2 linked regions of the Saccharomyces cerevisiae S288C genome follow. The gene in region 1 interacts genetically with each later gene. Each region holds a gene or a part of one and is shown on either strand. Other genes may lie near its edges.

The links. Genes that interact genetically often act in the same process or in processes that back each other up.
Region 2: mutations in PFF1 (region 1) and YPR172W together harm fitness more than expected from each alone (negative genetic interaction), as found in Saccharomyces cerevisiae (one large-scale study listed by BioGRID).

What each region holds. Positions count from the first base shown.
Region 1 is NC_001134.8:383,434-390,540, reverse strand, and holds PFF1 (Pff1p), read right to left. Parts: upstream 4,256-7,107; coding exon 1,325-4,255; downstream 1-1,324. Other genes in the region: ECM8 (Ecm8p), read right to left, coding at 1-314; DNA-dependent ATPase RDH54, read right to left, coding at 4,553-7,107. UniProt on the Saccharomyces cerevisiae protein: May be involved in vacuolar sorting and osmoregulation.
Region 2 is NC_001148.4:883,715-886,898, forward strand, and holds YPR172W (pyridoxal 5'-phosphate synthase), read left to right. Parts: upstream 1-2,081; coding exon 2,082-2,684; downstream 2,685-3,184. Other genes in the region: BSP1 (Bsp1p), read left to right, coding at 114-1,844; AAA family ATPase VPS4, read right to left, coding at 2,810-3,184.

The sequences.
Region 1 (7,107 bases):
CTTGGAAGAAAAATCAGTTGCTTAGAAATACTTTTAAACACATGCTTACAATCAGTGTTGGCTTTACCAAAGTCAAAATTTTCGCTATCGTTGAATATTTTCCTTTGTGGGAATATTTTGTTCTTGATGGTTTTTCTTTTGAGTGATCCACTATTATTGGATACATTCGTGGTGTCCGTTAAAACCCTCGAAAGAGTGGATGTTGAAGAGTCAGGTCTTTTAGACTGTGTAAATTCAGCATTACTGTCTATCCAAAAATCCACACCATTTGTTTCTTCAATACGTTGTGCGGGAAAAAAGTAGCCATAGTCCATCTTAAGGCTTTTAAATAGCTAATATTAAATACTGTTAGGATAGCAAGAGTGGGTGATTTATTCGTTAGAAATATACGAGTCAATAAAGTCTAGTACCGAATTAATGTATTAGCGAACAAATTCTTGTGGTTTTTTATGAAATCATCACTACTTCAATGTGTTAAGGTGTATTTTCGAAACATTTTTCGGCGCTGCCAGTAAGACGTACGACCCTTTTTTTAGTGTCAGTAACTATAAAATTATGACGTCCGAGAATAGCGTAGAAATTAAAAAGGGTAACAATGATATCTAGCAGCTTTCAAAAAAGGGAAGGGCGGCACAGAACCTTACATTGGACAATGCTTTGCCTTCACTTATACGATATTTTGCATTTTTTTGCTATCAAGATTTGGTTAATACTGTATCGTGTAAATTGAGATCCCACCTCCAAAACTTGCTTTTGGACAAAGCGATATATTAAAATAACTTAAATATCCGCTTAACCAAGCTCTTGATCCAAACGATATCCGGCTATAGTCAATCACAATCCCTGAAGAACCATTTCCAAGACCATTATCTTTATACTTAATAAATATATAGATTTACAGGTTATTTGTATATCGCTAGCATTATTGCGTGCTATTTTCTAATAGTTACTGGAGGGTTATATAATTTAGGACTTTATAAAAACGAGCATTGTATGCACTTGCAGCAGTGTAGAACTTATCTGACGAAACATGTTTCTTACTTTGTTAACTGATATCATTAGTGATTTTCAATACCGTCTGAATATCCACTATAGCTGTCTTTAGCGCTACGAAGAGAGCACCGTAGAATGGTTCCAGACGGATTCTTGGCCAGTAAAGTACATTCATAAGTTAAACTCAATAGTTTTTCCTTTTGTTACGAAAAATTTCTCAAAATATTTTTTATTATTTTGTTCTTCTTGTGGGAAGAAGCGAAGCCTTTGGACAACTCCCCCAGTAGGCGAATTTGAGTTTATAAAAATTTACATTTAAAACTAATTAGAATTATAAAATTATAGCATCCTTGACAATAACTAATCCTTTCTGTTCGTTGGTAAAGGAAAAACTTAGAGGTGCGTAATTTATCAATTCATCAAATGCTGGAATTTTCCTAACAGCGGTACCATTTACAACCGATTCCGAATCATATTCTCCCCAATAACAGCTAATAGAAACAGACAGTTCGTCTTTTGTCCCCAACTTGTCATCCTCTACATTTCCATCCGTCAAAAGTTTTGGAAACCACTGGACTCCGATATGGTAAGTTTCCTGATCGAAATCAAGTTTATGCAATTGCAGTTCGTTTATGCCAGAAGCAGACTTGATCGTCTTCGTGATATTAGCTTTCTGTGGGGCCGAATTTTTCTTTTGATATACCGTGATTTCTCTGACAGGTGACTTCGCCTGATGTCTACTTTCAAAAGTTAAAGTGCAAGCCCTGTTCTCCTTCACCTCCAAAAGTAACTCTGCAACTATTGGTTCGTAAGGAGATCTCTCTGTTGAGTTTCGGTTATTATGTAAAACATGAACCTTGACCATACTGCTGATGTTCGTATTTCCATTCGTGCTCAATAAATTAGGTTGCATTCCATCATACATACAAAGTTCCATTCCATTGGTTACGGAAGTACAGTTAATATGTGTAGAGCTATATTTTATACTTGGTAAATCTTGCAGCATAGGTTTTAAAAAATTTCCTTCTCTTCCAAGGACATGTACACTGGCAGCGTTCCCTTGAGACAAATCAATATTTTGAGAAAACCTTACTTTTAATGGGTTACTATTGGTAAAGGGGTGCACTAGGAGCGTTTTGGATGCGGAAATCAAGAAAAGCAGTGCAGTTAAAGAAATTGTGATATAGTTGACCTTATAGAAAAAAGGTAAAATTGGTAGCGCGATCAAAATACTGCCCACCATTCCGAACCTGAGTACATCAAATGTAGCCTTACTTCCTTCCTGGACAGTATGGTTTAGTGCGTCCATGATAACATCCACACTGTTAAACAAAATAAATGATGGTATTGGTACAATTAGCAAAAATTGAATGATCCAGGCATAATCGGTATACTCAAGTTTTAGAGAATTTTCTCTAGTACTCAATCCTTCCTCCATGCTATTAGACCCCTTCAGTAATGGTACCCTTTCATCATGTTGTTGTGACGATGAATCCATACCATGATCCTCGTCAACATTATGTGATGGGCCAGCTGAAGTAGTTGACACATTATCATCTTGGATACTTGCTTGATCGTCTTGTGACGATGTAAGTTGATCTTGGGGTTGTTCCAAGTTTTCCTGACCGTCTCGTTCCATATCTATTTGAGAATGGGAGCTGTAATTGGAGTGATGGTCCCTACATTCTCTACCAAGCCTCTTCCTTGTTCTCATTCCCAACGCTAGTGCAAGTAGTCTCAATATAGCAGCTATTGTGCTCAGAAGAAAGAAAATCGAGAGAGGATAAAGCCCGGTATACCTATAGTCGGAACTATACAATAACTTCGACGTAAAAAGTAAAATGGTCCATAAAATAATGAACAATTCGATAATTGATAGGCTTTTCATATCGGCACAGGGGAAAAAAAAATTGGAGCAATTAATCAGAACATAACTGGTAAAAATTACTTGAGTGAAAAAAGCCGAGATAGGCCAAAAGTAGTTCCTTGAGAACGTCAAAGGATTGGAACGAATTATGTCGTTAGAGAAAAGCTTTTGGACAATAATACCAGCGGCTAATGAAAGAGGAAAGCGTGTCCACGATAGCCATGAATAAGATTTCCAAGTCATTCTATCACGAGAAATTAAATACAAGCCAATGGCCACAACGGGTGAAACTAATAGAAATATGCAGTTCCAATAGAAAAGCGTTTTAGCGCTTATAACGAAAAACTTCAAACCGATAAAATCAAAATAACAAGCCGGCGTTTGGTCAGCTGTATCCAATGAATTAGAAGCCACATATGCACTTAATTGTAAGGAAGTATGTAGCATATGCCATAAAGATGCCTTGGAGGTATATTGTATTGAATCCTTTATGGTATGATAAAGGTTTCTCGGTTTGTAGAATGCGACATCCCAGCCTCTCATGCCATTTTCTTCGTAAATCTTGTAGTCTGTCTCACTCCTGACATATCTGCTATAAAAACCTTGCTGGTAGATAGAGTTACCAAATGGATTTTCCTTAACAGACTGTTGGTATATTCTTGCTGTTGAAGTATCTGAAGTTCGGAACAGTACAGCTTTACCACCAGCACCAGTTCCCTCTAAATTTATCACATACTTGGTTAAATTAGACCATGAGTGATCAAAATAAGTTGATGCACCTAGTAGGCCAAACTCTTCATTATTATTAAAGTTGAAAATTAAAGTCCTGTTCGGTCTGTGCTTTATATGGTACTTGAGGTTCGCTAGTAAAGACACTACACCCATGCCGTCATCGGTAGCTCCATATCCTGTGGGTACAGAGTCGAAATGAGCTGAAAGAAGTAACCCTTCTTCCTCAGGATTTTTACCCTCAAGCTTAACTAATATATTAGAAGATTCAAAATATGTCACTCTCGAAAACCTAGATGACTCATTGAAAGGATCTTGTTGCTGAAATAATATGGATCTCTCGCTTTCTTTGTCATCTGAAACACTTGCAAACGAAGAATTCCCTGTAATTTCAAGAACCCTTTTGAGCAAGTAATCATGTACTTTATCATTTTCTTTGGACGTGTACGGATGAAAAGAGGCCGTGATAATCTGTAAGTCCCCCCATGCTGTTTCTAATAAGTCATTGAATTCAGGGTGCTCATCCTCTTTTGGTAGATTGAGTTTATAACGTTCATGATCAAAGATATAGAGTAACGTAATAATCGAATAGGTGATTAATAGAAGCAAACTCAAATTTGTTTTCCGGTACTTTAGAACTGATCTGAATACACTTTTTAATTTCATGCCGTGATTCTTTAACTTTACCTATCAATTTATTTCCTTGTAGATAATTTTTCACATTATTTTTTTTTTTTTTTTTTTGGGACTAAAGGCTATTCAAATCTTTCAGATGTTTGATTTGCGCCCGCAGCGTATCGTTATCAAATTAGTGAAAACGTGGATATCAACTTGAATCAGCAATAGGCCCTACTTAATATGTGACTTGAACCTGAATGAGTCGTGCAAGAATAAACCTATTAAATACAATCAGTGATTAAATAATAGCTATTTTATTTAGTATATAAGTGTCCATATTTGGCGTCATTGTTCTCTGAGACATATCTCGCCGGGCTTTACAAACGCAAAGGTAATACTATCTTTCAATTCGGTGAACGAATCTGTGATAACCTCATCAAATAATTCATCTTGTCTTGCTGGATCGATATGCTTATAATGAACGAGACATTGCCTAATGTATTGTGACTTTTTGGCATCATCGTTGGTGGCTGCTTCATTCATTTTCTTTTGTAAATCCAGCGCACTTGTCCATGTCGTAGTGCTACGCTTTCTCAGCTCTACGGTGTTCTGCTGTTGATTTGTTTCAGGATATTCAATTTCCTCACCTAAACCATCGCAAGAACAAATTAAGTCATGTGTGTTACTCTTGGTATCTGTATGGACAGAAAACAGGTCCTTCAAGTCCTCTTTATTGAAAAGATCATCATTAGAAGATTCTTTATTTCTCATCTCCGAGTCACCTAGAAATTTTTGGCTCAAACTGTTCTTCATTAATTGCCTTTGCAATATTTTCTCATCGATACACCCAGTTGTGACAAGTCTATATATGAAGCACGGCTTTTTTTGACCATCTCTATGAATTCGTGACATCGCTTGCAAATCTACTGAAGGATTCCAATCATTATCAAATAAAATAAGTCGCGAAGCACCGACTAGATTCAATCCTACACCTCCCGATTTTGCACTCAACAAGAATCCAAATATGGCTGGATTCCGATTGAAAGATGTGACGATAGAGTCCCTTTGTTTAGCAGGTATGGAACCGTCGAGTCTGCAATGTGACATCCCAGCCATATTCATCAAATTTTCAATTATATCCAATGTTTGAGTGTAGTTAGACACTACGACGACCTTCTCCTTGGTACCCTTCCTAATACCTTCTAGTAATGTCATTAATACCTTTAACTTACCAGAGTTCAAAGAACGACTATAGCTGTCCTGAGATTGGGTATCCTTTATATGTGATTTGTAATAGGGATCTGAGCCAACCAATCCAGGAGAGTTACAAACCTTTTTCAGTAATGTTATTAGTCCTAGCGAAGAACTGAACGTCAATTGTCCAAAATCTAAACGTGCGCCCTGCAAAATATCTTTGAATGCCAATATCTGTTGGCTGTATGGTTTACAGAATAAAATTATATCCGTCTTTGGAGGAAGGTACTTTTCTAAAATCGCATTTGTTCGTCTCAAAATAAATCTTTTCGTAATTTCTATCATCTCTTTTGACCTTTCTTCCCCCTTTTCCAACAATTCTTCGTTGTATCTGTTTGCAGTGTCTCTGGCTCTAGTTATAGGGATAATGAATCTTCTTTTGAAAGAAGCGAAGCTTCCAAGGATTCCTGGGTTTATGAAATCTATAATAGTGAAAAACTCATTAAGATCATTTTGTATAGGAGTTCCCGTAAGCAAAAGCTTCCTTCTTATGTCTAAACTCTTCAGCGTATTTAAAATTTTAGAAGCCCCGTTTTTTAGTCGATGGCCTTCGTCACACACCAGCATGTCAATCAAATGTTTATTTTTCTCTAATTCTTCAGAAACACTCAAGAGTTTTTCGTAGCCAATAATCAAGACTTGATAAGTTCGTTGCACTTTTAAAAAATTTCTGACAGCCATTTTATCCATATCAGGAGAATTCCTTGAGCTTAATGTCAAAACACCTATTCTTGACAAATTTAACCATTTTCCAAATTCTCTTTTCCAATTTCCTATTAAAGTAACGGGACAAACGACTAAAATCTTCTTACAAAGTCCAGTTAATGGTATGCCTGATTGCGAACATGAAACTTTTGATGCAAAAGGAGTTTGCCTAATTAATGTCCAAATCAAAGTTATACTCATTAGTGTTTTACCTAAACCCATATCATCAGCCAAAAGGCATCCACTAATATCTGAGTCATTTTCTAACACTAAACTTTTAGTAGTACAATCGATATCCGGATTTTCAATAGTTGGTCTTGCCAAGCCCATTAAGCAATCATACATGAACTTCACCCCTTCCCTCTGATGAGGGCGCAAGAATTTGCCCAGTAATGGATCAACAATTACGTCAACTTCAGCGGCTGCATTTTTGTTCATTACTATAGGATTATCGATTTTGTTGACATCAAATACTGGATAATATTTTTTGGCTTTGGAATTTTGACTGGTTTTAGGTACTGTGGTCATGTGTTCATTTGTTTGCTTTGTTACTGATTTGAATCTTTTCACAGTGTTTAGTGAAAACAGCTGAGACAGAGGCATTTGGTATTTGCCACCGTCATTCTTCGTAGAAGGCACTGTTTCTGTTGTGCTTGTGGTCGGTGGGCTGGGATTTCCCATGTTTTGTGATAAGGCTTCTTTGGCGCTACGTATTTCTGCATTTTCCTTCAATTCGTAATCCAATTGTACTTCATTGGAGCCTGCTTTGAAAAGAGTTTCGAAGAGAGAATCTGAATCACTTGGTAGCATACTTGACCCAAGAAATTTCCCTGCTTCGTTATAAAAGCATAACTTATCGCTACTGGCTTTTAAGGTAGCGTAGCCATCACCACTCCAAGTCTTGTGCTTTTTGGTAGTAGGCTTCCTGTACATGATAGTAA
Region 2 (3,184 bases), on another chromosome or scaffold:
GAGTGAAATATTATGAAAGAATATATAGTATAAATATATACATTTATATATGAATTCTAATCAATAAAAGTCACAGTAACCAGCTTTTCCTAGCTTTTCGAAGTTTCGGAAGTATGACAAAATATGAGCGTGACCCTGAATTGGTGAACTTTCTATCGAAAGTGGAGGATTTGAACTCTAAGAGATACAGTAATATTCCTAGTTCAAAACCAGCGGGGGAAGCGCTTTCACCAGTTAGAAGTCACAACTCTGGGGAATACAGAAGGGCTGATATGATGACAGGGAAAAATGTGGAAGGTTGCGACAATTTGGCCTACCGATCTGCGTACAATTATGAAATGACGTTTTCTCCAAAGAAGACTCATTACTCATTAAGTGAGCTGAATCTCGAACGAATAACGCCAAGGCCGGATTTGGAGGGAAGTGCCTCTCAAAAAGAAAAAAAATTTTTAATTTCTGAAGAAGATTATTTATTATTGCAGAAATTGAAAGCCTCTCAAACATATAATGATTCCAATGCTGACAAAAATTTGCCTTCCTTTGAAAAAGGTCCTCGTATGCCCAGTCGGGGTCGACCCAGACCGAGAGAGAAGGAAATAATCACCATCCAATATGATTTTGAATTACCAGGAAGAGCCGATATACCCTCCTCCTCCTCTTCTTCATCACCACCGCCTTTGCCCACAAGGCGTGATCATATCAAAATCACAGATGGGAATGAAGAGAAACCGCTTCTTCCAACAAGGCCTAACAAAGCAGAAGTTACAGAAAGTCCGTCATCAAGGTCAATAAAACCGGATGCTGTGGTACCTGAGCGCGTTAAGCCTGCTCCACCTGTCTCACGCTCTACAAAACCGGCGAGCTTTTTAAGTTCTTTGGAAGATAACAAATTGACAAAGGCGAAGAGTTATAATTCGGAAATGGAAACTCCCAAAACAACTGTAAAAAGTTCTCATATCGATTACTTGGATTCCATACAACTAAAACCAACCACCTTATCTCCTACAATGAAAAATAAACCTAAACCAACCCCTCCTTCTCCACCTGCGAAAAGAATTCCAAGATCTGAAAGTTTTATCAAGTCTATGCTAAACTCGAATCTCACGACAACTTCCAAGCCTTCTTTGCCTGAAAAACCTCAAAAGCTACGGAATGCAAATTTGGCCGCCCATAAGACCAAACCAAGCATACCGCCAAAGAAAGTGGAGTTGAATATAGTATTACCTGAGCTACGTCCCGTAGAAACTTCTCCAACAAAGCAGAACTTCGAAAACTCAATCGATTTGCCCAAGTTACGATCCAGCAACCGTAACATTAAAAAAGAAGAGGAGGACAGTATTCCAGAAGCAATAAAAGGTATACAAAATCTGAAGAAAACCAAACAGCAGAAGCCTGCAATCCCTCAGAAAAAATCATTTCTAACAAATAATTCGAAAAATACTACACTCAAAAATGGTGATGATATTAACAAGTTAAATGACGAAATTGAAGCTCTATCATTGCGGAATAACCTGAAGAAACGGCCACCAACGGCGCCACAACGTAAAATTTCTTTGCCAGAGGCATTGCGAAAAGTCGAATTGATGAAAAAATCTAAAACCGAGCCTGTTTTAGAGTCCTCAAACGAACTGAGCATAAACGCAAAATTAGACGCAATAATTGCCTCTAGAAACTTAAGAGCATCTAATACTCTACCAGAACTTAGCGGTGTTAACACTAATATTGCAACTTCTGACAAGTATACTACTTCTAGAGATGAAACAGTGAAGGAAACTAAACCATTAGTTCACCCGAATAAAAATAGGACTCGTGGTCCCAGAAGAAAACTTCCAACACGCGTGTAACTACAGAGTAGACCTCCGTATTTTACACATGTATGTACGTACATATGATGTAACAATAATATGATAATTTAATGGGATACATGTATTATCGTCACTTCCCACGTTTGCGCTTTGACATTTGCTCCCCTTATGAACCTGAAGGAATATAAATCATCGATCTTTTTGCTACACTTTTCCTCCCTTATTAGAAAATAGCAGTAAAATTACAGGCTATTCAAACCCTGAAACATCTCAATTATGGCTTGGACTAGTACATTACCAGCGCATCTACTGAACCTGATCAAAAACTCCAAATATGTTCACGTGGCCACCTGTTCTAAAGACTGCATCCCTTCAGTGGCATTGATGAACTATATCTATGTGCCAGGTGAAAAACTGTTCGGTCAAACAGATAATAAGAATGACTACATTATATTTGTTTCTCCTCAGGACACACAAAAGTTTTACAACATCAAGGAGAACCCTAAGGTCGCCCTGTTGTTTCACGATTGGATCATCGCGAATAATTTGTCAGTGGGCAAGGAAAGCATCTCTGGGACTCCGACGCCGACTTCTATTCCTCATGAAGAGCAACGTCAAAGCGAGCTTTTAAATTTGTTACAGGAGTTAAATCAAGCCGAATTGAACCAAATGAGCGCATCTATTGGTGGCGAAACCGAAATTGTCAATCCTGAAAGTGAAGAATCCAAGTACTATAAAGATTTAATACTAAAGGCTAATCCTGATGCGAAAGCTTTTATATTTGAAAAGAACACCGCCGTTGTTAAAGTTAGAATTGATAATGCTAGGGTATCCAATAATGAGAACAGAACAATGTTTCTAAGTAAAGGGAAGAGTTAACTGTCCTCTGCTTTTCTTTATCTATTTTGCATACGATTCTGTATTTAATTATTCTGTTTTTTTTTTTTTTTTATTTTTTATTTTCATGTACACAAGAAATCTACATTAGCACGTTAATCAATTGACTAGTTACCTTCTTGACCAAAATCTCTAGTGAACTGTTCTTGCTTCAGCAAGTCATCCTCATTCACGGTAGGTCTCGTCGATTTGATAGCCTTTAAGAAATCCTTTATGGTGAGATCTGGTTCTTTTAATTCATCAGCTTCAATATCCGTCCAACTCATCTCGATGGCGCCATCATCACCTGGAGAGCATGGTGTTAGTTTTCTTGTTTCGTCGTCCTCCGTAGAGACATCTTTGAAATGTGTCGCGCTTTGAATTTTTCTTATCGGTTGCATTAGCGCATCTTTCACCACTACAGCAATATCACTCCCGGAATAACCTTCAGTCATTGCACCTAAAGTTCTATAATCTTCCTTGGTCAATACGCATGGAGTGTC